Lonchura striata: one gene and its partners. The protein of the gene in region 3 interacts with the protein of the main gene of each other region in a pairwise test. Links are inferred from orthologs where the notes say so. Each region holds a gene or a part of one and is shown on either strand. Other genes may lie near its edges. The genes, in order: PPARG, NFKB1, HTT and RNF20.

Region 1 (7,282 bases), on a different chromosome or scaffold from region 3:
TACGTTGTCCCTGGAACCTGAAAGCAGCACCTCTGGGAAAAGTGGACTACCCTACATTTAAAAGAAAGCACAACTGGAAAAACTCCCTGGGATCTTCCCTTTGTGGAAAATAAAAAGTGGAAGGGGGAATAGACAAAAGAAATAGAAAAGGTTTATCATTTAATGTAGGAATCAATTGATGGTTCATATCAATCCAAAGACAAATCTTACGGCTTTTCCATTTTTCATTCTGCCTTGGAAAAGCCCCCACAGGGAAAAAGCCGGGGCAAGGAGGAGATTTTCTCCCCAGGTACTCTGTAAATGAAGTCCTTTAAATTGATCTCTTACTGGGAACCCCCAGCTCCCGTTTGTGAGGAGTGGGACTTGAGTACATCAATGTTCTCTTGCTTTTGATTGTTTCTAACTCTTCCTCTTGTTCACAAAAAGTGAGCTGACACACAGAGAACATTTGGCATAAAGTACCTGAAAACCAGATCCTGCTGTTAAAAAACTAGAAATACAGAATGAAATAATTAGCACTTATCATCTAACATCATGCTGGATTTAATAAACCTATTAGTGATTAAAAAATGAACCTAGTAGCAATAACTAATGGAAAATATTTTATCCAAGACTTCAAAAGACTCATGGAGAATTTGTAATTGTAGGATGATTCCTCTTGAGTAACTGCACTGGAAACTTTTACTGCGTGATTATTATGGGAATAATCCTCGTCAAAAAGCTTGTAAAAGAAACACAGATTCTGAATATCAAATAGACACAATTACTGATTCACTATTAGGCTACTGAAAAGGGCTAGGAAAGATATTCAACTCCACTCTGAGCAGATTACATTTAAAAAAACCTGAAGTTGTCCTCACCAATCAAGGTGAAAAAAAGTATTAATTTTACTTTTCATTATTTGGTCCACCTTTGTACAAGACAGATTTTTCATTCTACTTTTAATTTTTTCTTGTTTTTACAATAAAATTGTTTTCAAAATTCATTTTATTAGCCATTACTATAAGGAGGAGATTACACTAAAAGTAATTGAAACAATGCCTAAATTTATCAACTTAGAAATGGACTTACGGTTATTTTAAAAGTTCACAAAAGAGTCAGATTCAAAAGCACTGCTGATAAGGGGTGCATTTATCAGTCCCATAAGGAAGGTTAAAAGGCTTAGCTTCAATATCCTTCAACTAAATTCTAATATATCACCGCCTTCATTTCAGGATTCATTATACAAAACAAATTTATATCAGAAAAATGTATTAGTTGTATATTCTGTGTTCTAATGGAAGTTTCATTGAATGCTGATGTTAAATACATTGCATTATCCAGGATTTTGGCATTTCTAAGAAACACAGACCATCTTAAGGCTGTTTAGAAGTACAGAATCTCTGAACCACTACAAGTTAGTGAGATATTTTACAAAACTGATGCCTAAAAACATTCAAATTCAAAAGCTGCCTGTGTAAAAATACCTTATATTATATTTCTGATTGGTTATCATTCAAAGTCAGTGCCAACTATTTTTTTTCAGCTCTCTCTCCCCTTGACAAGCCCATGCTTATATTGTGCCACATGCCTTAACACACTGCTAGGAGTGATTTCTTGTAATCTCATAATTAAATCTCTCAGCAATTTTTGCAGCAATTTTTTTTTTTTGTGACAGCCAAAGTGAATAATGATGTCAAACACATCACTTGATGCACCAAATTCTGCTATTAAGGAGAGCACACCATATGAAACTTCTTTTCAAAGGCGAGCACTCAGTATCATGTCACAATTGCTTGGTGTACACTGGGAATTTTTGGTTAACTAGTAACAAATCATAGTAACCTTTTAAAAGGTAAATTACTTATTAAATGATAGACTAATTGCTACCAGAAAATAGATATTTTTAAATGGAACATTGTAACAGTGCTCTACAGCAAAAGCTTGTTCACAGATGGGACAGCAAGTCACAAATCTAAATCCAAACCCCTGGTTATTTCAAGGAGAATTAAAACCAATCCATCTGATTTAAAGGAACCTAAACTCCAAAGGACATCCAGAAATTGGTAATTCCCTGAGCTTTTGATCACAAGAAATACCAGCCTTACATCACTAATATTAATGAACGCATCCCTGTTAAGTCAGCATAGTATTGTCGTGTGTACACGGGGCCACAAAGTTACAACACCACAGGAACTTGCACTCTCTAGCTGCAGAATACCCTGGGGAGAAATGACACCAGGAAGATTACAAAACGCTCCTGCGAACCTGAGGCATGCCATCAAGACACAATATATTTCAACATAGCATCTCAGTTGTTGCAGGCTGTGAGAGGCTCCCCGACTTTCTGCGATTGGGAAATTGAGGGGGGAAAAAAAAAGGTGCTGTTCATTCATTACGAGAGCAGCCAGGTGAGCTCAGCACTGCCCTGGCGGAGCTTCCCGCACGGGCGGCAGGGATGGACGGCGCGCAGCGCATCCACCCATCCATCCGCGCTCCCCATCACCTCCGGCTCTGCGGGCGGGACATCGCCCCTCCGCCGCCGAGCATCCTCCGCCGCCACCCGCTGCAGCACCATGGACACAGCGCCCGGGCTGCCCCGGCCGGAGCGCGGCACGTCGTCACCCCGCATCCCGCATCCCGGCACCCCCGCACCCCGCACCCCGGCATCCCGGCACCCCGCACCCCGCATCCCGGCACCCCCGCACCCCGCATCCCGGCACCCCCGCACCCCGCACCCCGGCACTCCGCACCCCGCATCCCGCACCCCGGCACCCCGCACCCCGCACTCCGGCACTCCGGCACCCCGCACCCCGGCACACCGCACTCCGGCACTCCGGCACCCCGCACCCCGCACCCCGCACCCCGGCACTCCGCACCCAGGCATCCCCGCACCCCGCACCCCGGCGGCCCTGCCCGCGCTGCCCGCGCTGCCCGCGGCTCCCTGAGCCCCGCGCCGCCCTCACCTCGGGGCCGGTGCCCGCAGCCGCACTGCCCCGGCGCTGTCAGTTCTCAGCGGGAGCTGCCGTTCCCTTCCAGCGGGATAAACTCCCCCGCTCGGCCCGGCCTCCCGGGCAGGGCCCGCCTCCCCCCGGCGCCGCCTCCGCCGGCCCACGGCGAGCGGGGCCGGGCAGGGAAAGGGACGGGGAGCGGATGGGGATGGGGACCGGGGGCGGCCGCAGGGATGGCGCAGAGGAGCGGGCCGGGAGAGGCAGCGGGGCAGTGAGAGGAGGAGGAGGAGGAGCCGCTCGTGCCCCGCTGTCCCCTCAGGCCGCCCGGCCGGCCCGGCCCGGCCGCGGAGCCGGAGCAGCCGCGTGTGGCCGAGGGCAGAGCGCGGCCCCGCAGCGCAGCTGGAGTTTGATCTCTGCTCCCCGTAATCTCCCGTAACTGAAAATTCACTTTTTCCGCCTGCCGGCTGCTTTCTCTTTTGCCTTGCCATGCTGCAGCCAGCTCCGCTCTGCGCTGCCTGCTTGGCTGGGTCGCCTCACGTCAGGCTGTGTCCTGCTGTGACAGGAGTAAAGGCTTTTCTGAAAAGGTTCTTAGCACTAACGGAGGTAAAGCGAATTCTTTTTCACTTTTTTTTCTTTCTTTTTTTTTTTTTTTTTTTTTCGCTTGAGATTATCTCTGGGCGCTCTTCCCCCCTCCCAGGAATGCAGAGCCGAGCGCTATAGGCTGTGCTCGGTACCTCTCCAGAGGCAGCAAGCCCAAACAAGCTTGTCACCTCCTCTATCTCAGCCTCTGAGGCTTTGAAAAAGAAGTTAGATGTGGAAAAAAAAGGCATAAGATCAACAGGCTTTAGAGAGTCATCCTGGAACTCCAGGTGCCCCGGGATACAACAGTTTATCTTGAAAAACTCCTGATCCCTTGGACATCACTGGAAGGCTGAGAGGATCCCAAATTTGCCTCATTATTCTTAGTCATCAAGCATTTTGAAAGAGAGCCCACATTTGCTTTATTATTTGTATACTGAAGGCAATTTATAGATTAGGGTTGAACACGTCAAAATACCTGGACTACCTACAGATACTAACTTTGCCTCCAGCCTTTTGTTTATGAGAACAATCTCTCTGTCTGCAGAGGCTTGAAGCCTTGTCTTAATTTTTATGAGAATTATCTGTCTATTTGTATAGGCTTGAGGTGTTACCTCTGTCTTGACAGATCAAGGATTTTTTCTTTCAATTCCTGCTTTTTCCCTTTCATCTGAATTTTTTTTCGCCTTGGAAATGTGGAAATATTTTTTTTAAGTGGTTCTTTTTTATTGTTTGGGTTGGGTATTTTAAAAATTATTTTAACATACTGCAGTAATAACCTATTCCAGTAATACCCTGGCTCAGAATTAGAAGCCAGGTCCTGCAAACAAGTAAAACAAACCCTCAGAATTACCATGGATGAACAAAGAGGCAAATGTGGGCAAAACAATCTTAACAAAGAGGTTTAAAATACCTTGGTTACTAGTATTTTTACCACTGTACTGCAAGAGCTGAAGTAGAATTTCAACAGAAAATTAAAAGGAGAAGGATCTGAGCTGGACCCTCACAGAGTTCTGATTTAGCCCTGGTGAGAACAGAACTGCTGCTCTGCTGCTGGAGAATTCCCCATTTAGCTTAAATGTCTGAAAAAAGGGGATCCCTCCCCAAAAATCAAACCTTTGGGATCCCTCCCTAAAATTTAACCTGCAAACGTTTTCAAACTCCGCTCAACTGGAAGCATTCCAAAAATTGGAAGGTATTGATAACATCCAGTTGGAACTGTGCAGTCCTGCTTTGAGCCCAGGCTTTTAATAAAGGCAGAAATACAAAGCACAGTTTGGATTTTTATTAAATTGTATGGGTGAGACAGATATCTCTAAGTCAGTCCAGAGAAACCAGCCAAACACAGCTTTCACAGGAATATTACAAATACACTATCAGTCTATTTTTGTTCTAAGCATTATTTTCTTTACTGAGTTCACCTTTTGAACAGAACTCATAAAGCAAAACCAGAACGATAACTTACGTAAAAATTACTTAGATTTTGTAAATATGCATTTTAGCAGATTGAGACAGGAAAGGAAAAGATCCTTTAGTCTGATTTCCTGCTTAACACGGATTTCTAGTTAGGATTTAATATCTCATTAAATGTTTCTTTTGGACAGCTAATCTTAGTTTGAAGAATGACAAGATGAAGAGCCCATACATTTTCTCTGGTAATTAAAAGTATGCCTTATTTATAATTTGAATTAATCTGTTTTTTGTTTTTTGTTTTTCTTTTTTTCCTTAACAAAGAGTGGATTTTTTTTTTTTTTTTCTCAGAGAAAGCCAATCATTTCTGTATTGGTAAAGAAATACTACAGACTACAAATATATTATCTATTCTGTAATCAAGTTGCTTTATACTGTAATGAAATGGTCATAATAAAGACATTTATCAGCTTCTCATAAGTTTTTGTTTGCATTGTTTGACTGTGCAGTTTTTGATGATCCAGACTTTCTCCCCTCCTTATCTGTGAGGATTCCTAAGCTTGGCTGGGAGCTCTCAGAGTTATGAAACAAGAGTGAAATGTCAGGCTCAGGCCTTGCTGATCCATGGGCAGTTCTCCCCTAAGTTCAAAGAGAAGCAGAAAAGACTCTCTCAGCATCAGTTCTGGTTTTAAAATTAGAAGATAATTTGCCTTCACACAAGATCAATTATACTCTGTTTTTCTTGTTGGGTATAAAGGCATCAGTTAATTCCTTTCATCTGAAAGAACTGCATTTTAAACTAACTTTAATCAGCCCATTTTTCGTGGTGAGTCTTTTTGAAGCATTTATTGCATCTGAAAAAAATTATTTCTGCTTGCAGTTATGACTGACTGACTGTACATTATGTGTTTCAATTATTCAGAAAATTCGAAGTAGATGAAATTGAATCATATGGCAAAAATAGTTCTCACTGAGATGAGAAACTGAAATGAGTACTCTGTGGAATCTCCAGATGGATAAGGGTGTTAGCAATGACAAAATAACCTCCCCTGAGTGGTTTCATTTCTCTTTTCCATCTTGGTGAAGGAATTTCTGTGCAACAATTTCTAAGGAATTCCAGGTAGGTGTTTATGGCTAGAAAAACTAATTTATTGGAGGTGATGCTGTGAGTTTTACAATTGGCTTGAAAAGAGTGGCAGCCTTGCAAGGATTTCTACTCCTTCCCATCTCTGCAAAGACACAAATTCCTTCTTTTACTGACTTTTTATGTTTCCCCTGGGTTTGGGCTCAGTCTCTGGCTGCATTACTCAAGTTTAAAATCTTGCAGTGTGTCCTATGCTGGTGCTGTGGGATGGAATGGAGAAGTAGCCAAACCTTTAACATCTAGAGGGCAATCTCCTGCTCTGAGAGTGCAGCCAGAAGTCTGACAGCCTGAGCAGCAAGTTCTGATTGTGCAAATTGCATTGCTTTAAAGGAATGGAGTTTAAAAAGGTTAAAAATGTCCTGTATTGCTGCCTTTTTTTAAAGTTACCCCGTGTTCTTTCTCTTGGGCAATGCAATATTTTAATTCATATATCTGGTGTCCTTTTATTGATAAAAAAGCATATCTTATTTGCCTCAGCATATCTCATTCTGTCTTTACTGGCAGCTTTTGGTCTGGCAAGGCATGTTTTTAAAAAGTAAGTCATAATATCACACCACACTCCTATCTACAGCTTGCACACTCTTTACTTGAAGGGAATTCAGAGTTTCAGCTGCTATCAGTAGCATTTTACACAGATATATGGCAAAACCTGGGGTATAAACTGCATTCCTTGAGTACAGGATTGTGCTGGGTGAGTTTCTCCCGGGATCCAGCAGGAGGGATAGAGGCAGGCACGATGCAGATTTTTCACAGATAACTGCAGAGCGGGTCAAAACAAGAACCCCTTAAAAATGAGCCTCCTTTGCCTGAACTTCGAGGCTTGGATAAAAAGAGAAAAAAATCCAAACCTTGTCTGCTTTAAATTCATGAAAGCCAAGATCACACCAGCCTGCCTACCTCTAAATTGTAATGGTTTTCTTCCTGACCTCCAGACTCCCCCCAACTCTTAACTTTGATTTCATCTTGGAGGGAATAACTTCCTCTCTAGGACTGTCTGGCTCTTCTGTGGTTGAATATGATATTGCATTCTGATTAAATGGGCCCCAATTGCACATCACAGACAGTTAGCAGGTAAAAGAAAATATAGGAATAAGGAGCTCAAGCACATACTGGTATCTGTCAGATGTTAATCCATCCAAAATTCATTTCTGAAGGAATCCTTTTAAAGCAACCAAGAGATCATTTTGAGCCTCATTTAGAACCAGTTTATCCAAATTTC
Region 2 (7,067 bases), about 39 Mb from region 3:
ATGACAACCATAATTATGATCTTATCAACACAGAACTTCATAAAAGGTTCACAGCTTATTTTAAAGGACATCAAATTACAACTTCCACTTCTAAAATACCTCTGTCAGAGCTAAAAGTGACCAAAACCAGGAATTGCCCTTTTCATTACCTGCCTGAACCATTCATTATCTTCTCTTTGTTTTATAATAGCTGTGTTATTTTGTCAGAGAACCAAAAGAAAGCTATCAGTACGTTGAAAGAAAGGATTTTTAACTAACTGTAGAGCTTTCATTAGTTGCTTACATAAACAAGTAATTTTATTTATGACTGATACTCTTGTACTTAGAGTTGGCAAACACAGCAGTGAAAGGTGAAAGTATTTCAGCAAGTAGTTTGGAGCGATCTGTGAAAACACAGTAGAATTAATCAGCATCTCTGAGGACCACAGGTGGATTTTCTCATCACTAGCTATACCAAAAAACCAACAGTAAGCTAGTAAAAGATACATTTTCTCTCGCTGTATCTTTGCAACTTCAAAAATGAAATCTACTTTGCATTACAAGCACCTCTGATAGTAAAGACTCACAGGCCTTCAAACTTAGTTCCCATCTTTCCAGAGTCAGCAATATGCACAATAATATGAATTCCTAACAGAACATATATCTTTGCATGTATTGGTTGCATGTACTCATGAGAAAGTGGCATGGGAAGGTTTTGGAAAAGGCAGCAATGAAAAGGAACCTCAAAAATCTATTAATTAGCAAATTTGCATCAATGATATTTATTTGCAGGTATCTATTATTGAAGTCACATAATGCCACCTCAAGGAAAAAAAGTAAACTAAATTTATTATTGAATTTTTAGAAGTAAAATTTTAAAGAAAACTTACATTTATTGTTTAAATTAATTTTCAAAAGTAAAATACGTAGTAACAGAGAAGTAACCAGCACTGCTATTTTTGAACAAATGAAGCAGGATATCATCAAACGTGCACATAAATGAAACACCAGTGTCTGCTTTCGACCCTGTCTCCCTCTTACTCCTTTTCTCTGTCCCAACACTTTTATCCAGCAGACTTTTCTGATTTCAAAATAAATACTACCAAACCACTACTGAGGTGTTGCCGGAACAAAGTGAATACAGATAGTTAATTTATCTGTTACAAACCTGTTTTTTAAAAACACACGACACAATGCAAAGTGATATAAAGCTGCTCTGTTTTATAATTTTAACTCAAAATGTATTCATTTCTTGCACGAGACAGTAACTACATTTTTTGATGACTCTACCACTGACTGACATTTCTTTCTTTATAAAGGGGACAAAGGGTGGAAAGAAAGCTTTTTCCCTTCTGTTTTGTATTTCAAATTAAGTTCTTTAACATGTCTTGCATAGATTTCAGCACTGAGGTTCCCCGAAATCTCCATGCACTGTGGCACATCCTGACAATAGTATTTCTGCGTAACTGTTAGTTAAATTCTCAGGCCAGGGAAAATTACGGAACAGAGAATCTGTTTCTGGATGGTTACAGACTACGTTTTTCTCTTTCATTTTCTCATAAACTGTAGCCATTTCTGTAGATTACAAAACATTGCTGACAAGATGCTATCTTAGAATGACGTCTTGGTTAACGCTTTCCTAGAACGGGCAGCTACTTTCTTTCATGAAAGAACACAAGTGCTTTGACTGAAATACTATTTCAAAAGTTGATACTACACAGTCCACAGCAGAGAGACTCCAGATGTCAATAAAATCGAAGTGCTCTATTTTCAGCCCTGTTCTGTGAGCTTGACAGTGCTGGTGGTAACACCCTGCAGCATGTAAGGCACAAGGCAATACGGCAAAGAATTCATCCACTTTTCTCTGTGAACAGAGTAAGTGAAAAGAGGACTTCTGGAGCACGAAACATGCCAAATATGATCATCATTTTAGAACTATTTTAAAATATCTTGATAACAAATAATATGTATTTCCTTTAAAACATTATTCTTAAGCGAAGATTTTGAGCATTTTAAGACAGGAAGTTGAAATGCAGCAGATGATCCCTTGCCTCCAAAGTCTTATTCCCCAAATGCTCACAGGCACTGAGATTTACTTATTTTGAAAATACGCAGCAGTACACATGATGATAACGGCCCAAGAGCACATACCTCATGTCACAGAAACAATACTCCGATTCACATTCACGTAAAATAAGTCAGCAGCTCTCCTTCACCAAAGCAGAAAGCACCAAGAGATGAAAAAATAATTGCGATGATGAGAAGTTCGATATTCTTGGGTTTCAAGGTCAAATGTAACTGAGTAATCACTGCAATAACACTCCCGGTCGCGACGAGAACTTTTGGGTTTCACCACTTGCAACTACGTTACGTTTAAAAACCTCACTATTTCGTACCTCCTAAATCAGTCTGCGGCACTCTGGGGCAGCAGCCAAGACCAGCTCACCAGAGCTGCCAGAACCAGCCCACGTTTCCGTGGTGCCCACCTGCACTCCTGAGCCCGGCCGGCGACTGTGCCCCGGCCGCGTCCCAGGCTCAGCGCGTCCGTGTGTCACCTTCGAAACCAAAAGCGACAAAAGCAGCGCCTCCTTTGCCTACGAGCACCCGCTACGCGAGCGGCAGAAGCTGGGCTTGCAAGTTTTTTTCACTTTGCTGTCACGGGCACCCCTTCCCTCGCCAGGAAGAGCCCGGTAACCCAGCAGCAGCAGCAAAGCCGGCATCCCGCCGCCTCCCCGGGCTGGCTGCAGGCGAGAGCCGCGCAATCCCTGCCCCAGCCCAGCGGAATGCCCGCTCCCGCCGGCGAGGACGCGGAGACAGGGGAGAAGGAAGGCAGCGAGTGCGGGCCGGGGCCGCCCGGGGCTCACCGGAGCAGAGCTGGCGGCGCCTCCTCCTCGTCGTGCTGTGCCGCCGGCGGTCCCTCAGCGCCGCGCCATGTAACCCGGCGTGCCGCCGCCCGGCTCCGCGCGGAGTCCCCCCTCCTTTCCGCCCGCCCCACCGGCGAGGGCGCCCGCCCGGCACCGGCCTGCGCAGCCTCCGCCCCTGCCGCCGGCCCGCCGCACTTCCTGCTGGAAATTCCCGCTGACGCTCCGGCAGCGCGGAGGGCCGCGCGGGCGGGGCGGGAGGAGGCGCGGCCGCGGCAGGGAAGGGGCCGGGGCGCGCTTGTACCGAGCCGCCCGCTGGCCACGAGGTCCCCGAGCCGGGGACGGGCTCACCGCCCGGGTGAAACCGCGTAAACACGCGGGTCCTTTCATCCCAGGGCAGTTACGCCGCCGCAAGAATCATCCCGTCCTTGCCCACGCTCCTTGGACCACGGCGGAATTCGCGACATCTCTGTGGATACGGGCCCGACCCGGTGGCTGCCGAAGTTTTTTTGACCTCTAGATATAAAGTTTGGAAGGCGAGAGAGAGACTCTGCATGGGGTGAATTTAACCCCCCTGCCGCAGCGCCTGGCTGCTAGCTGGCTTTCCCAGGCAGTTCATTAAAGGAAATTTTCCGACTCTTGCCGCCCGATGCCTGCCGCCGCTGGGCAGGGAGTACGGGCTGCACGGCACCATTTGTGTGTAGGCTTACACAGTTTCTGACAGAGCAGGCTCCCAGGTAACTTGGCTTCTGTTGAACAGTGCCAACCATCAATAATGTGATTTTAATACCAGAATCCAGGTTTGCAGCATGGTAATCAAGTCTCCCAGACACATTTAACCAAGGCTGAAGCAAGGCAGCTAGAGCCACGTTTAATTGGCACAAATACTATGTAAAACAAGTTCAAATATTTTTATGCTAAATCTTAAAACGTCTGGTTTGCTAAGGGTGACGAGTGTCTCAAATGAGCATCCAGCATAGCTCTCTGAATGTGTGTTTGTGCAGAAAGTCAGCAGCACGCCTCTGCGGAGTTTTGTTATGCTAAGGCCACATAACATGGGGCTTCATGAATGAGATTAACAAAAATCATAGCTTAAAATAAGAATTTAAAACCTCAAACATATAAAGGAACCAAGGAATATGACTGTTGCTTTTTTTGTGTTGAAGCAAGTAATTGTAACCTAGAGCAAAAATATGTTCAAAAGGAAGAGAGGCCAATCATAAGCCACCTGTTGATTGGAACAAAATGAAAGGGGTATTTTTACCAGAAAGGGAGTAGATTCAGATGTTACATTTTGTGTCACATCTCTGTGTTGGAGCAGAGAGACACTATTTAAAATGAGAGCTGAGAATGCAAAAGAGAGCTCGGAGATGAAAGGGATTTTCTTTGCTGTCTTGAAAAATGACATTTTCTACATGTTAGACATAAATATATAGGAAGAGGGAGTAATTTCCTTTTTTTGGATTGCCACTCATGCTCTGTGATGCAATTCTAACAATGCAGTCCCCCATTCTCTTCCCAGTACATACTGGGAGCTGAGAATGACTCAGCATTTCCGAGTAAAACATGTTTTCCTTATTATATGGGGATATTCAAGACCAATATTATTTTTTTTTTAATGGAAGAAAATGCATTGAATTAATAGGAAAGAATTGTGAGGAAAGAATTGTGTCCCAAAGCCCTTGAAGGAGGAAGTCTAGATGGATTTTAAATACAAAGATGTTTCAAAATAAGATTCGTTTGGAAGGAAAGGTGCCATGTCATACCTAATCAAAGGTGTGCTCACAGGGCAAAACATGTATGAACAAGTACCAGGAAATCAGACAAGGTGGATAAATTCCAAAACTTAAGGAGACTTACCTGGTGGATTTATTTTAAAAGGACATGCATTTAAGTACTCAGGCTTAGCTTTCCCTGTGAAATCTTAAGCAGCTTCCACAAAAATCCACAAAAATAAAATCCTCTTCTCAATTATATTTAAAGCATAAATTTGCCTTTTTTAGAGCTTAATACCATAGCTGAAGTGTTATTTCTACTGACACCCACAGTAGTGCCAGGCTGTAAGCCCACACTTTGGTAAAATTATCTTCACAGAACACTCTAGATAAATGTACTGCTTTATAGCCCAGGATTCCCACTTGAAGAGCCAAATAATTCTGCTCCAACCACTGAGGAAATCGGGCAGATAATACAGGCTCAGTGGTTCGCAGTGATGAAGTGCTGCCTGTTTCCTGAATAACACTGGTTTCCACTATTACCATCAAGTTATTTCAGTAGCTGGACAATCTCAGCCCAGAGATGAGGAGCAGGTGATCACACCTGAACCCAAAGGAGCAAATGCCTGCTGTTGAGCTGTTGAACCACTGTGAAATGGTTGCAGCCATGTCTCTGGCGGCTGGGCAGGTGCACTGAAGGAAAGGCTTTCTAGCTGTACGCTTAACCAGGCTGTTTCACCTCAGTCAGGTGGGGGACATTTAAGTTTCCTGATATGCAGATGTAATTTAGAAGCTGAGCCTCTTCTCTGCTTGGTTTGCTCTGGGACTCCAGATATACAGATCTCTTTCCAAGGTCAGAAATCTTTGGCCTCAGTATTTTTTAATCATGTAACTAATGATAGATAAACATCTAAGACAAGCAGAGATTTTTTAAAATAATCAGTCTTTAATTGATATGTCTGGATTGGAAAAACTCATGAAAGTTTCTTACATTATTTGTCTTCTGTTTCTGACGCATGTATTGGAATCAGGATAGGCTCTTTTCATTCCTTTTGACGTAGTAGGTTTGAGGCTAAAGCAGGAAAAGGTAAAGGAAAGTTTAAAATAGCTACTGAGAGACACTTCCTTTTAAAGCTTTCAACTGCCCATCTTCATTGAGCTACTATGCCATACTATCCAAATCTATTTCTGGTCAATCCATTATTTCTTTCTCATCCAGATAATCCAGAACTGCTAACTTAAAAACTGATTTGCCTTACATAGTAGCCAATGATTATCTTAACACACTTCAGTCTCGTAGAAGTTGTCAGTGTTTAGCCAATATTTGCTGTTGGCATTGCCATTGTCTCCTGTAGCTTGAATCCACCACTATCACAGGAAGAAAATATGTTAAAAAAATAAAAAAAAAGTTGTATTTTAAAGATGGTGTCATCTTTCTGAGACTATATATGAAGACCTAATGAAGTTGACAATAGAAACTATATTTGAAAAAAATATTCTAAATAGCCAATGTACATTTGCAAAGCCAACCATTTGAACTGCAGCTAGCAGGGTGTAGAGTTTAATGGTGCTGCTGAATCCCTATGTTGCAGCATTCATGAGAAGTACTTTGTATCATCTCTGTCATTTTTGTTGGATGTTGAACTGGCTGCAATTCATCACATACTTCATCAGAGCAACACCCTGCAAGGCTCTGAACAGTGTGGTGGCTCCTGTAATTACATAGGCCACATCCCAAATGTACCTCTTACTTGCTTCCTCCAGAGCCACAAATCAGACATGGGATCTCATATTAACCCCACTGTAGTTTAGGCATGTATCTCTGCTGAAAGACTAAATTTCTGATGTTTTGGGTAAGACTGCCAGAGCTGAAGGCAGGAGTTTTCAGTAGTGAATAACTACTGGGGGACAGGTACTGGGGAGTTAGTAGACTTAAATAAGAGAACCATGAAGCTGTAGATATGGCTGATGGGTATAATTATCAGAGAAAAGGGAGCCTTTGGAGAGAGCTAGAAGTAAACAAGAAAGGGAACACTGCTCAACATTTACTTACAACTGTCATACATGATAGGGTATCACTTCCTAAAGGACATTGAAAGAGCCAAGTAGAGAAGGCAATTTGATATATATAATTTTTGGAATGGTTAGCCTAGCCTTCCCTTAATTTGTCTGTGTAATGCTATGCCTTCTTCCTTCTTTTCTTTTCCACTGGCAGATGATTACTCCAAAAGTGGTGGTTTATAGATTCTCTGTGAACTTGCTGCAAGGTAGCTGCTCTCAATGGAGCTACCCAGACCACTGTGAGAAGTTGTGAGCTGACCAGTTCATCAGAGCATTGAAGCTGCTTCATGCAGAACATACATTCTCTTCCAAAAGTGTGGCCTAGGCTGGTCCTACTTGGCAGCCCAGGTTTAGTGGCCGAGCAGAATAACACTGTACAAGAGTATGTGCATGTATTGACAGAATAGAAATGGTTGTGTTTGTAGAAACCATTCAGAGAACCATTAGTGTA
Region 3 (8,021 bases):
AAACCAAATGGCTTGACATTGATCTTGACAAAAATAACAGAAACTAAAAACTATTATTTTAATAACAAACAGAAATATGAGTGGATCAGATCAAGAAATAAACTCAGTCCAAACACAGGGGACACCCAGAAACAAGGTGCATTAATGCAGGCAATGATGGATTGTCAAATTAACCAGAACTGATGTACTACATACCCTAGACATGGTAAAAAACCATCAAGGAACCGCTTCTGACAAGCAGGCCCATAGGTAATACCCATGCAGTTTGTGTGATCTTCAGTAAAACAAAACATTAATGCTAGGCCGCCATATAGCACTGACCAAACCAATCTACAGCTTCAGTCAAACATAAAAGACACGGAAAAATTGAAAAGTATAGAAAAAAAACCATATTGCTTGGGCTTTTACAGTACCTTTTCTGTAAAGGTAATGGTTGGAATCAAATGTAAAAAACTTGAAAACAATTACAGTAAGTGACTACTACAATAAATTGACAAGAGAAAATGTAAGAAATCCATTTTTGGATTCACAAATCAAACTCTAAATTTTTACATCATACTAGTAAACTAAGTTAGTGGGAGCTTTGTGATCCAAAACAAAACATCCAATTTCTAACAAAATGTCAGTCTGAAAAAGCTGAAAAAATATAAGGAAGAAAATTAGTTGCCTAAGCAGAAGTGCATAGAAGCAATATGATAGGAGAACTCAATTTTACATAGATGGGAAAAAAACCCCAACAAGAGATAAGAAAGAGGGGACCAGAGACTAACATCTGACTGCATGGTATAACACATGATTATTGCTGATTAGCATCTCTTGAAACAGAAAAAGATCTTATCTTCTTGGTAAAAGCTTGGATTTAATAAATATTTTAATAAAAAAAGACAGGATAATGGTATTATCAAAAGTTCTGGAGTCATTGTCTTACAATAAAGTGAAGAAAGATATAAATACCTGCTGGGTAAACAATTAATTCTTCTCTACCCCAATCTCTCTGATCTTAAAACATTTCATAACAGGAGACAGTCCTCAGTAGGATGATAGGAACTTACTACACAGAACTACAAGATGTGTATGTGTTATTTACACAGAACTACAACAAAGATGAACACTTCTCCCCAAACACAATTTTCCTTTTCAGTCTACTACAAACAAGAAAAAACAAATGCAGATAGTATTGTGAATTACATTCAATATGTCACCTGCTATTTCACTAAAAGTCTGAGAGGCCTCAGCAAAGGCTGCCACAATAGCTTTTCACTGGCTTTTATGAGGCTCAGTGCTGTCACAGAATTTGTCCAGTTCCTGGGGGCATACAATCCCATCAGCTTTTTAAAACAGCCTATTTTTAAACACAAAGCAAAGTCAAGGAGGACAACTCCAACACTAATTTTTTAATGTTTACAGCAGAACATACCTAAATTTAGACCATCAAACCAAGCACAATATCACAAGCATCACAAATAATTCTAAGGATTTTCTCCTGCAATACCATGACCTCTCTCACCAGTAACAAGACAGAAATTTGAATAGCACACAGAAAAGACTGGAAATAGATGTTCATCCATGTCACACAAAGTACTAGCAAAAAGAAATGCACACAGCAGAGAAATTAGTCCCTGCAGACCAATAAGGCACCTAAGAACAACGAGCTCATGAAGAAGATGAGTTTTCTCACCTATTAAACATCAGAAGTGTGGAAATGCATTGTGATTGTTTGAGACAACATTCTCCAGAGAGAAACAACACCAACCGTGATAATTTAGTTGGCAACTGTATCAGAAAGTGCAGTGGGAACGGGTGGCCAGGAGCCCAGAGCCACTGCTCCACTTCCCCTGCCAGCACCACAAATTGCCAAGTTAGAAATTACCTGCTCCTCAATCCTTCTGCTTCCACCTTCTCCTCAACAGCAGGAGAAAAAGTACCTGTGTGACTCATGTCTTTATCCCTAAAAACCTTCCTGCCCCCACACCCGCTCAGCAAAGGCTGGTGTTAGGGGGTGCAAACGCAAGGGGCAGCACCGCGGTACTGAACAGCTCCTTGCCCTGGGGCACCCAGCAATGCCCCCCATGGAAACCTGGATATCTCATGGATCTAACACGTTTATCCCTTACACTTAAGAATTAGGAATGTTTAAACCATCTTCTCTTAGGTCCCTATGCAGCACACAAGACGTTAACTTTGTCACAGACATTCACAACATCTCCTTCTGAAAGCATCAGAGCTCAGACTAAAACTCTTCAAATTTGCAGTTTACAAACATCAAAACATTTCTTAACTTCAACATGAACTTTAGGTAAAGATATGAAAAGTGAATAAGAGAGTGGAAGAAATTTCTCTTGCTCAGCCTTGAACCCTCATTTCAGGAAAGCGGTACAATCGGCTGCAGATAGTTCAGAAAAAGGACACTCATGCAGAAAGCGTCAAGCACAGAAAAACAAGGTCTCACAAAAAGCGCTTCAGCAGTTATCACAAGAGAAAATGCTCAAAGTAGTGCTTTATTCAAGTTATGCTTAAGGGTTTTGGTCTTTTTTGCAGCAGTGTACTAAGTGAAAAAAAGGCTTTCCTTCCTAGAACCAGCCTGTGAAAGCCGCACAGCGTTGCTGTACCTCCCGGCCATTTCCCGCACGGGTGACTTTTCAAACGCACTTGGCCCAAAAGTTACTCCGCGTGTGAAGCGGGGCAGAGAGCCGCCAGCGGCAGCGCGGCACGGCCGCGGGAGCCGCCGCTGCCGGGGAACGGGGCCGGGCCGGGCCGGGCCGGGCGGGACGCGGGACACGCGTGTCGGGAGCCGCGGGTCCCGGCGCGGGGCACTCACGGTCTCTGCAGCGGCTCCTCGGGGAGGGCGGCGGGGCCCTGCTGCTGCTGGAAGGAGCGCAGCGACTCGAAGGCCTTCGTCAGCTTCTCCATGGTGGCCATGTCCGCTCCGCCCGCGCCGGCGGCACCGGCCCGCGCTCCGACCCGCCCTGTCACGGGCGCCTGGCGGGTCCGAGTGCTGTCCCGCTGCCGCTGCCCCGGGCTCGCTCCCGGCGCTGTGCCGGCGCTCTGGCGGGCCCGGGCCCGTCACAGCCGCGATGAATGGGGCGGGCGCCGCTCGGGGCCGCGGCCGCCTCCCGTCCGCCCCGCCGCCATCTTGGATCCGTCCCGCCGGCCCCCGCGCGCGGGCCCCGCCCCCGGGGCCGCCCCGCCCCCCCGGAGCGGGGCCGCGGGCCGGGGCTCGGCCGCGCGTGCGCACATGGCAACCCCGGCCTGGCGTCACGCGCCCCATTACGTCGGAGCACACGGGGACACGCGGGCCGCGGCGGGGCGGGGCAGCGGCCAGAGCGACAGGAGCTCTGGCCAATCAGAAGGGAGCTCCGCCCCTCGCCGCGTGCCGGAGCGGCCGAGCGCGGCTCTTGCGGCGCCCCCTGTCGGCAGCGGCGGTGGCGCCCGGGAGGCGGCGGGGCCGCGCTCGGCTCCGGGCGGGGCCGGGCGGGACCGGGCGGGACCGGGGGTGCCGCGGGCGGGGAGCGGCCCTGGCAGCGGCCCGGGGAGCCGCCGGCAGCCCCTGGCACTGCCCCGCGGGGAGCCGCGCTCCCAGCGGCACCGCAAAGCGAGAGCAGGCGCTGTGCGGCCGCACGTGGCGGGTGCGCAGCAGGTAACGCGCCAGCCCCCGCGGCACAAGTGGCGGCCAAAGGCGCTGCCGGCACTCCGGTTTTATTTTAGGCTGCAGAGACTCTTACAGGAACAGGACACTTAAAACTCGGCAGCGCACGTGCTGGCCTTTCAGCGCTGCGTTCCTGAGTGTGGATCTGCTTTATCAGAGCATACTTAGTGTGCGCACATACAGGATACAAGAGCGACAGTATTGAATATTCAAGTCATTGATTCCATTAGTAAACAGAAAAAATCGACAGTTCTGTTAAGTTTCCAATTGCAACCACTGATTTTAATATATCTACTTGTTAATACAGACATTAAATTACAGCTGATGAGAACTGGCAATTCAATTTATCTCACACACACAAAACCGGTTCCAGCAGTAAAAATGGAGAACAACTCAGGAATTCTAAGAAAATAAATTTCCAGTAACTCAGCTTGGTTATTGTTAGCAGACATGAAGAAATGAAGCAAAGCTCATGTCTCTGAAAATTCAGGGCAAAAGAAGTCATAGATAACATTCTTGCCAAATACTCACTAGAACAGCATTCTCTCTGCCAGTTAATTTTATTAGTATGTTAATAAAAGAAACTATTTGAAACAGTCCTCTGAAAGGAAACCTATCCTTAGCCCTGAAAGCAATTCAACTTGAACAAAACCTTATTTCATTATAGAAGTGCTACAAAATGTGAGCTTTTAAGGTAAGACCAGAATTTCTGATAATTCTATGATAAAGCTTGCAGAAACGTTTCTCTGGAACATGTGGATAATCATGAATTTTTTATTTAGCAAATGATACACGATAAGAGATGACAGCAGAGTTGGAATGCTGCACACTCTGTGCATGTGCCACTCCACACTTTGAAATAAATGTGAGTAAAAAGAGCATAAGGTCTTATCAAAGATTAACCAAGCCACCTTGCGAGGCTGTTTTGAAGCTTTCCATGCGATGTGCCAGTCCCTGCGGGCTGCTGACTCACGGGCAGGAGCGCCAAGGCCGTGCCTGCCCGCAAGCTCGGCGCTCTTTGTTCTCCCTGTCCCGAGCTCCAGCGCTGAGGCTCATTAGCTGTGAGCTAACTGGGAGGTAATTCCGGGTATCAGCATTTTCTATCAGTAGGTTCTGCCAGCCCAAACTGACTGATCCATGGTTTTGCAGGTATCACGTCACTGATCTGTCCCACAAACACACACTCTGACAAAAGTAAAGAGGTGTAAACGAGGTAAGGGGCAAGAAAAAGCAAGGCAGGATTAGAGAAGTGTTTTTGTAAAGTCAGCGTTACTTCAAAGAAAAATGAAGTTCCAATTAACAGTGCATACCTAAAAGAAGATCTGAAATTTAGGGGATGACAACTAATTAATCCCAGCCTCCAGAAGAAAAAGGAAAGAAAAGAAACATGCTTTAATGTTGTTTCTTAAGTTACCTCTTGATTTAATGCTTTTAAGATAAGCATGTCAAGAGTATTTTTTCACCCTAACCTGAAGTCCCACTTTGGCCAGCATTTCTGCATTTCCATGAACAATTCAGTAGGTAATTGGTACGTGACACTGCTGGCCCACATGGTTTGGCATATGCTCGGATCATCTGCAATATGTCACAGCACAGTTGAATGTTTTAAGGTCATTTAATTTGAAGCCCTTTTGGAGAGCATTTGGGGGCTCTGTCCTTCAACTCATGCTATAAAATTACAGTAAATGTACTAATGAAAAACAGCCCATCCCGATAATTCTGTCTTTTCACATGGAAATTTATGCCAAAGTCTAGATCCAGACCATGAGATAAGGTATCAGTTGAGCCAGTACAGCAGAACTGGGGCATTTTTTCCTGGATTCCACTGTCTTACACTGGTAAAAAGCTTACACTATGTAGGAGACATTTCCTGCTTCAAGAAACTGGAAATTTATTTTAATTACAATTTTCTTTTTTTTTATTTCTTTTTCAATCCCAGCTACCATGATAGACATGGTAAATAAATCACATTAGACAGTAATACATGTGGTTGAGATATGTGGCAGTGTTTTGCTTTTATTTTAGGAATTACAATGCTAGAATGTCCAGGAAAACAGCTCACACAAAAACAGTCAGTGGTTTGGAGATGCTGGAAGTAACACATCACATTTAACAGTCAGCTTCCTATGCCTGGAAAGAATTCTGGTGTTTTGGACACAATTGGATCATGGAAAAAAGTTACCTACATGTCATGTGCAAAACTTAAGTTACACCACAACAGCAATTATGAAATAAAAAAGAATATTTCATTAATTCATTCAGAAGAGACATAATCATCACCAAATAAGCGAAGTGAGTAATTAAAATCAAATCTTCAGCTTAAAGATGCTTTCCAATAATTAGAATTTCACTTCCTAAAGAGAAGTGTTTCTGAAAACCTATACTAACTAAACTGAAGATAAGTCCCATGTTAAATTCATATAATGCTAAACTGTAAACCATAGAAAATTATTACTTTTGTTGTCATATTTTAGTAACTTGTAAACAAGTATTCTCCATCTGTATAAATGGCAATGAAGAAATTCTTACATCAGTGTAGTTCGAAAAATAATTGAAGTGCATTCTAATAATGGATTGTTAGTTGGTTTCAATAGCTTCTATCATTGATTTATAAACCAGATGATTTTATTTTGATTTGGAGATAATTCTCTTTCATACTCAAAAACATTCAGGACTACTGTTTTATGAATGATTTGGGGGGAAAAAAAAAGAACGTGATATTAAAGGCTAAGGTTTGTCAGTAACACTCTTGTTGTTACACACATACTACAGGTTTTTTCCCTACTTACTATTGGTTTTAAGTGCTCATTTTTTCAGCTGAGACTGTTCTGTTGTTTTTATAATCCAGAAACAATACCATCTCTATTATGAACGCACCTCAGGGGACAGGGGGAAGCTGACAGCTTTCTTAATAGAAAAAAAATCCCTGAGGCATGAAGATTTTGTTCTTCTGGTCACAACATTGAAAAGCATTAAGTAAATCAATAAGACACTGGTACATTGTTTCACAGTTTCTGAATTTTGAGCTAAATAGAGAGGTTTGAGGTACTTGCAAGCAAACATGAAGATTTACATACACAAATACTTGGAAACACGCCACAGGAAAGGAGGGTTGATCTCATGCAAATAACTCCATGGAATTCCATAGGTCTTTCCAAATCTTGCACCAGAAGAACATCGGATTGTCTCAGTGCTGTTAAAGCCTTCTAACACATGGGTCTAGAGAATGAAGTCATGCTGAATTACAAGAAATTATGTTGGCTTCCCCCATCCCACCCCAACAGTTTCATGGAAGTAAAAGGCCACATGATCAGTAAACATAACCTGCTATTTTCCCCCTTCTTTGTCCCAGCTTTGTCCTAAAAAAATTCAAGAGTTAAGTTCATATTAAATTTCTTGCACCGTGATATTTTGCTTTCAGGCATTCTCCCCTCTCTTTAGCCTTTCCCTGCTTTCAAGATGCACTTCCAAGCTCCTTATATTCCAGTAAAGACTGGAGTATAAGTAAAGTCACCTTAGATTAAACAGCATAACATCTTCCCTCTGTGTATTGTGTAAGGAGACTTATGCTGATTGCTTATCCTTCCAGTTCCTTGTTTTTTCTAATTCTCCAGGGGATTCACATCAGATAAATGCAGTCATTATTATGTGCTCGTATTTCTAGCCAAAAGGGACAAATTTATAGGACAACAATGCCATCTTGAGCCTGTTGGGGAAGAACCAATCAACTAACCAAAAGAACCCAAACCCCAAACCCAATGAAATTAGGTCATAATCGAACAAACATGTATTCACTCAAAAACAATTCAATAGTACTATTCTGAACTTAAGGAAAAACTTGTGAAATTACACTTGTGAAATAAGTAAAACTTAATAAAAACAAATTCTCACTTTTTTACAAGGAGTTCCTTTTTCCAAAAAAGCGGACATGTAAATAACCACTTCTAAGGAACAATTTCCCTTTCATTTAGCCCTCTTTCTTCACAGATTCCTGGAAGATATATGTTAAGCCCAAACACTCCAAAATAGAGAAGTGATTTTTTTTTAAAGTTAAGATTCCTCTCCATCTCATACAGAAGGAGAACGTGAAATACATGATAAATAGAGTTTCAGATTTTTTTTTTTTTCAATCTGTTAAAACTAATTCCTGTATTTTCTTCATAAAAATTACTCAGCTTGTGTTCATGGTATTCTTCCCCAAATTTCAAGTTACTCTACACACACATTAAATCCAGACAGTCACCCTACATGTCTGGTGTTTATACAGTCACCTTTGCCTCAGAACAACAAGCCTAAGACCTTAAAAATTCAAACCCCTTAATCAGGGAAATGATGACTTCTCCAACCATGTAGGTATTTATAAAAACCTTTTGTT
Region 4 (7,126 bases), on a different chromosome or scaffold from region 3:
TTCATCCAGGTTCACTCTCTGCTTTTCTGCATTAACAAAAATGAGTCAGGTTAGACTTGGGAAAAAACTGAGACAGTGTGGATGTGGCACCAGTTCACTGCACAACAACCAAACTGCTCCTATTGAATCTACACACAAAGCCAGTCAAAGCTGAGAGTAGCAACACCCTGGAAATAAATGACCTCTGTACTTAGAGAGCTTACAAAACCTACAGAACTGAAAAGCAACCTGGAGCCAAGGCTTGCAAAGACCCATTCCAAGAGTTTTGCTGTGTACCAGGAGAGATGTGAACATTTTTCAAGAGAACCTACTCCTAAGTCAATCCAGTCTGAAAAGCTCTGGACTACTAGAGAATCACGGAACAGCTGGGATTGCAAGGGAAGACAGGAGGCCACCTGCCCTGTGCCCTGCATGAAGCAGGCTCAGCCAAAGCATGTCCAGTGCAGGGCCTGCTGAGGGTCCTGTCCAGGCAACCTGAGCATCTCCAGCTACAGAAACTCAGCCATGACTCTGGGCAGCCTCTCTAGTGCTTGATCATCCTTAACATTAAAAAAGGCTTTTCTCATGTCTGAACAGTAATTCCTGTAGTTCCCTATAATATTATTGAGCAAAATTACAAGTGTATCCTCAAAAGGTTTACAATACAAATGGAAGTGACTGGAGATGAAACATGGAACCAACCAATCTTCACTAGACATGAGCTGCAGTCTTCTCCCACAGCCACTGGTGCTGTGGCAGCCTCTAGACTGAATGAAACCAGAAGTGAATGAAGTGCAGACTGTACCAGTAAATCCTGACTTGTTCCATTTAAGCCTATAATGGCATTTACAGTCAAACTAGGGGTTATGAACTGAACCTCCCAGTTCCTACCTGCTTTAATTGAGCAGTTCGACTGAAAGCCACAAGGCCATTGTGTTTTGAAGATGAAGATCGTACACTGCTTTGCCAAATCTCAGCAATTCACAAGCATCTCAGCTTGGCAGTGCCCTTCATCATATGCAAAATAGTATAAAAATTATTTCTGAGTTACTGAAACAGCACAGATCCTGTGAGGTATCTTTTAACAGAAACATTAAACTACATCTCAAATTTACAAAGAAAGACAACTGCCACTGAACCATTTTCCTTCTCTTAGCAGCAGCTCTGACTTTAGGTGGAATTCCAAGAGAATTGGAAGGGAACAGCTATCACTAAAAACATCTCATCTGTCCCCTGTCAGTCCAGCAAGCCAGCACTGCTCACTGCCTTTCACACTTTTTGTCCAGGGACAAAATACCCCTTCCACTGCCTCCTGGCATCACCCCTCTCAGCTCCAGCTCCCCTCTCACAACCTCCTCATACACTGTACACAAGACCCCAACCCACTAATTTTTTATGGCCACAGACCCAGTCTTTCACAGAATCATTTAGAATGGGAAAACCTCTGAGACCGAGTACAACCTATGAACCAACACCACCCTGTCAGTCACACCATGGCACTGGGTGCCACATCCAACCAGAGACAGGGAACCCACCAGCTCCCTGGACAAGGCCCTTCCAGTGCCTGACAATCCTTTCTGCTGCTCACACACAGAAGAGGTAAAGAACTCTAATCATGAATGTACATTTCTTTGAATGTCATATTTATTTCCTTCTTGACACAGAACTGCTGATCTGCTCTGCTAACTAACAGAGTAAGTTGTACTCAGTCATTCTGTATTTACTTAAAAAAAACCAGGTGGATTTCTGATTACAAGCCCTATCAATTGAAACTCAAATTACATTTTCTTTTCTTACTTACTATCATTTTACAACTAAATCAAAAACCTTTACTACACCTGCCACCACCTGATGTTCCTGCTACAGTACAGGAACTATACTACAGACACTACACACATATAAACCGGGATTTATGTACAGACACAGAACAACAGAAATAAAAGCACTGGGCAGATTTTAAAACTATTATTTGAGTTTATACTCCCCAGCAGGAACTCCAGTCAAACAATGTTCCATCCACAAGCCTAACAGGATTTTTCCATGGCTTCAGATCAGACTCAGCAGGAATATTTTAAGCATTGGAGGAGAAAGGGGAAAACTTCCAACCCTCTGCTCTGCTTGGCACTAGCATGGCATGGATGGGGTGCTGTGTCCAGGACTGGACTCCTCAGTACAAAGACAAGGAGCTGCTGGAGAGGGTCCAGTGGCAGCCACAAAGATGATGACGCCTCTGGAGCATCTGTCTTATAAAAAGAGATTGTGATATCTGGACCTGGTTAGTCTGGAGAATACTGTGAGGGGATCTCATTAATGCACACAATTATTTCCAAGGTGAGTACTAAGAGGGTGTTTCAGACTCTTCAGTGCTACCCAGCAACAGGATGAGGAGCAGTGGCCATAAACTAAAACCCAAAAAATTCCACATGGGGAAAAACACTGAGGGTGGCAGAGCACTGGAGCAGCTTCCCCAAACATCGAGGACTCTCCCCTTCGGAAACATCCCAAGCCCATGTGGATGTGTTCCTCTGCCACCTGCTCCAGGTGACTCTGCCTTGGCAGGGGGTTGCACAGGGTGATCTCAACCCTGCGATTCTGCGATTCAGCTTCCCCACACACCAGCCGCTCCCAGAGCTCCTCCGCTCTCCCGCATCCCGCGGGGGTCCTGCCCCTGACCCGGCACCTCCCCACAGCGCCAGCCGGACACGCCGCGGGCCCGTCCCTCCCTCCGCGGGTGTGCGCTGCCTGCAGCCCCCAGCGCCCCCTCCGTCCTCCGCACGGCACCTCCCGGCTCTCTGCGGCCCCGGCCGTCCCCACAGAGCCGCCGCGGCCGCCTCGTCGCTGCCGTAACCGCCGCCTCCTCCTCCGCCGCCGCCGCACCCCGTCCCGTCAGCAATGGCCGCCCCCCGCCGCCCCTTCCGGCCGCCATTTCGCCCTCACCCGTCATGGAGGCGCCACTTTGCCCTCGCCCGACATGGCGGGACCGCAGCGGCACCAGACGCCGGCGCCCTCACCCGCACCAAAGATGGCGGCGCGGGCGGAGCCTCCCCCGCCCACACGCGGCCCCGGCGGAGCGGCCGCCTCCCTGCCCGACCCGGGATGGAGCCGTGTCCCGGCCGGACCGGGGGGCAAGGGCGTCACAGATGCTGAATGTGGGCAAAACATCAATGGTCTGTCCTGGCCATGGTGTGGCAGGAGGGCCAGGACAGTGATCGTCCCCCTGCATTCGGCACTGGAGAGGCCACACCCTTGCTCCCTTCCAATAGCGAGAATGTTCTGCTTTCCTCAGTATTGTTTAAAGATTAACTGCGTGAATTATGCAGAGACAGAACAGCAGATGAGGGAAAAAAATACAAGAAAAAATCTGAGTGGTGAGGAGAGAAAGAGAGGGATTCATAATATTTGTATTAATAACTGAGATTCTTTTTTGAAGAAAGTGGGAGAGCCAAGCAATCCAATGCTAGTGCAGAGGAACTGCAGAGAGTCTTCCAGCAATTTGCAATTACTTAGTCTACCAGGAATATGGCAAATACGGTTGCTTTTTCCTGAACCTTGTAGTCTTTCACTTGCCATTACTACAAGGAAGAGTTGAACACTTTACAAAATTACAGTTGGTAAGAAGTGAAGTGACTGAAGCTGGGTGTTTCTTGGAAAGAATGTGCACATGTTCTTAGCATAAGCAGAGGGGAGCCTGGTATGAAGAAAACCACCGGAGACCTGGACATGAACTGAATAAAAAAGTTGTGTAAGAAAGCCTAGAAAAGAGACAATTTGGAGCTTGCAGTGTTGGTATGCTCAGACTGTGGCCACTAAAGGGGACCTGGCTGGACTGAAACTCCTATAACCAAGAAGTGCACAGCCTTGTGACCAGGCTGAGCATCACCCATTACCTGTTCCAAAACCCTATTCCAAATTAAAAAGACCCACAAAACCTCAAACACTGTCTTTCCCTCAAGTTGTAGGAGTAGTAGTAGCCACCAAATTTGCTATGAAAGCCCAACACATGGGTGTGAAATGCATCCTCTTTGGTAAGGTGGGAGGTGGAGACACAGCATTGTGAACTATTCATGTATTACCCAGATGTGTTTGCAAATATACAGGTAAATATGGAGCTTTAGCATACCCAGGACAGTACCTAAAATTATCTTTGATCCAGCAGAACTGTGCTGCTTCCAAGAGGAAAGGCTCTATGGGAGATGGTCTGGGAGCCCTCTCACCTGGAGGGCAGAGGGAAATCCTCTCTTTTGGGAGAAGATTTGTGTGCCTGGAGTCTCCTGAAGAAATAGCAGAGCACAGATTCATCCCAAAGATGGGAACAGAAGAGCTTTGGCCAGTCAACACAGGTGCTGTCAATGGCAGATGAAGAAAGGGATTGCAGGTTGCACACTCAAGGAAAGCACACTTAAAAGCTGAGCTTTGAAGCACAAAAAAAAAAAAAAAAATGGGCTCAAGAACATAAGAAGCAGCCAGTCTAAGATTATAAAGTGGAAAAGTGACATCTACAGGCAACGAGTAACTGGGCAAAGTAAAACAGTACCCAAAACGCTCACAGCAGACTAACTACCCTAGAGGAGATAACTGGATTCCAAATTCAGTGGAGAAAAGCCATGTGCATCAATATTTCTGTGGTAAAGATGTATTTTTGTGTCAGCACACAAATGAGCCTTTTCATTAACTGGGTTGTTAACTGGAGCCATAGCAGTTACTTTGTGATAATGCAGTGCCAGGCACCCAGAAGAGCAGGTATGAAACACAGCCCTCAGTCCTGTGTCAGCTGGCACATCTATTCCGTGCCTTCTAGATCAGATCATAGAGGTGAAGTAAAGGAAGGAAAAGTCAGAGAAAGAAAAAAAAAAAAAATTTAAAATGCGTATTAGTGGAACATACTTCGAAATAAAAGTACCAGACCTGCCATATGTGTGTACAGGTCTTTGACTTCACAGCAAATGTAGCTTTTTTCTTAAAAACAATTACAATAGATAAATAAATAGGATGAAGGGCTTGTACTGAGCTTCCTAACCCCCCTTAATTTCCTCATACACTGGCTACAGGCAGAGTGATTCTATCTTGTCCTGCTATTTTGATCATTGGTGCTTTGAAGCAAAGATAGAAACACCAGTGTCTTAAAAGACATCCCTGTCTTAATGGCTTATTTGTGGAAGAGGCACTTTCATGTTACCAAAGTGTGATAAGCAGCAACAAGATTAATTTTAAAAGCTAAGCTTTGAAGAACAAAGCTTCAGTCCTTGCTCAAAATTTTGTCCTTGAGGATTGTTCTGGTGTCCTCTCCTCTAGACATGACTTTATCCTTACTTCATTGTAAGGTAAGGATAAAACATACCATTGTAGCTAAGGTTGTGCTCTGAAAATAGGATAATTTTTGGTTTTCTTCTCAGGTATTGTGAAGTAGTCTACGTTGTTGCTGTGGGCATGAACTGGAATGAAGGGTGGTGCTGCAGGGTGCTGTGCAAGGTTCACATCAATTAGGGCCAACAGTGGAACTGCATTTGATAAGATCAGGTACTTTACCTAATGATATCCACTCAGTGGATCAGATCACACAGAAACGTATCACTCCACAGCATCCTTGATCCAGCCAACAATTGCTGTTTATGTTATTTGGGATGTCTTTCTCTTGACAGACAAGCTGACTAAAGAAAATGAACACACATAGAGCTGTAGCCAATGCAGTGAGTTCTTGCTTTTCCATTGAAAGAAGTTGCATTACTTTTTTTTTTTTTTTCTGTTATTGTTATTGTTATTGTTATTAGAATTGGATAGTTCTTCTTTCCTAAGTAGCATAATAGGATACTTATGACTCACATCTGGGGAGAGAGACACTGATCCTATTTTGCCCAAGTGTAGTAAAGAAATTCCATTGTCACCTGACCAGAAGGAACTTGAATAGAAATGTTTCAGTTGCTTATATATGCTGCACAAAAATTCTCACTTACTTTTGTTTTGTCATGTTCCTACCCTAGTTGTCTTCCTCTTGTAGTGAAACACTTAATGCTAAATGGAGAATATGTGTATGAATTGAAGAAGCTCTCTCACTCCACTGACACCCAGATCATCCTGGCAGGCAATCTGAAAAAGACAGAATGAAAGATTTCAGTCAGTGAGAAACCCAGGCTGGAAAGTCTCAGCAGGGATTATTAGTGATTGTCTTGCTGCCTCACTGCCCAGCTGCCATAGTGATAAGGAGAAATGAAAAGCCCAGGAAACAGAGCACAGGCTTTACTGTCTCTTTCCCTTTCCCTCAGTCACTCTCTTTTGGTTTTTTTTTGTCCTGGCACCACACCACCTTAATTTGCTGTCTGTGCAGAGGATTCCTTTGAGCAAATAGAAATAGTCCTGAAAATAGTGATATGAAGAGTTTCCTGTAAAGGAGCTTATGACAACTATCCAAACTTATTTAATTGCAGTAGATGCATTTGAATTTTAAAGACAGGCTCTTCAGAATCCTGGTAAGCTTTTTACTGGTGCATTTAGAGACCAGAGAAAGAAAACAAGCTGCATTTGAAGATAATAATTACTCAGCAGTGAAAATTACAGAATTCGCAAAATCAATTCTAGAATCTCTAATCAAACCCTTCAGCCTTATCCTTGCCAATGTAGCTCATGTCATTATAGCAGGTTTTACTTCTAGATCATGGACTAGTCACAGACTTTTATATCTTGCTTAAGTTTAACCTTAAGACTTTCAAACAAAAAAAATTACCAGAATGAATTAAAAATATTAACTAGGAGTGAAATACTTGAGCCTCCATGTTACATCCATTATTAGGTGGAATAACAAAACACCATTCAGCTAAACTGAATCAAAACCTCTTAAATTTCAAATAAGGCTGCCCCTTAGAGATTTGAAGCAGTTTTAAAATAGTTATATTTGACACAATTTTCCTGAGAATCTTTGTGTAGTTAAAACCTTGTACAAATGGTACTCAGACTTTCCTAGACAGGCCACTTCTCTCATGCCAGCATCTGACCTTTAGTTCCAGAAGCACTCTCCTAAAATTTGCAGTTAGCAAAAGCAGAGAAATTGCTAGCACTCTGTGCCTCTGACAGAGTGCAGAGTTTACTAGTGAAAAGTGCCCAGTGACCATACAAAATAACATTACTTCATTTTGCAAGAGAAAGTAAAAGTTTT

The links.
Region 1: the proteins of HTT (region 3) and PPARG interact in binary tests that used the Homo sapiens proteins (3 or more experiments, as listed by UniProt). The link is inferred for Lonchura striata from reciprocal best matches to the Homo sapiens genes HTT and PPARG.
Region 2: the proteins of HTT (region 3) and NFKB1 interact in binary tests that used the Homo sapiens proteins (3 or more experiments, as listed by UniProt). The link is inferred for Lonchura striata from reciprocal best matches to the Homo sapiens genes HTT and NFKB1.
Region 4: the proteins of HTT (region 3) and RNF20 interact in binary tests that used the Homo sapiens proteins (3 or more experiments, as listed by UniProt). The link is inferred for Lonchura striata from reciprocal best matches to the Homo sapiens genes HTT and RNF20.

The regions. Positions count from the first base shown.
Region 1 is NC_134614.1:4,878,629-4,885,910, forward strand, and holds the start of PPARG (peroxisome proliferator-activated receptor gamma), read right to left. Parts: upstream 3,013-7,282; 5' UTR 2,946-3,012; intron 1-2,945. UniProt on the Homo sapiens protein: Nuclear receptor that binds peroxisome proliferators such as hypolipidemic drugs and fatty acids.
Region 2 is NC_134606.1:48,747,442-48,754,508, forward strand, and holds the start of NFKB1 (nuclear factor NF-kappa-B p105 subunit), read right to left. Parts: upstream 3,011-7,067; 5' UTR 2,844-3,010; intron 1-2,843.
Region 3 is NC_134606.1:9,473,802-9,481,822, reverse strand, and holds the start of HTT (huntingtin), read right to left. Parts: upstream 3,021-8,021; 5' UTR 2,920-3,020; coding exon 2,819-2,919; intron 1-2,818.
Region 4 is NC_134642.1:59,176,499-59,183,624, forward strand, and holds the start of RNF20 (E3 ubiquitin-protein ligase BRE1A), read right to left. Parts: upstream 3,022-7,126; 5' UTR 2,917-3,021; intron 2,888-2,916; exon of another isoform or gene 2,761-2,887; intron 27-2,760; 5' UTR 1-26. UniProt on the Homo sapiens protein: Component of the RNF20/40 E3 ubiquitin-protein ligase complex that mediates monoubiquitination of 'Lys-120' of histone H2B (H2BK120ub1).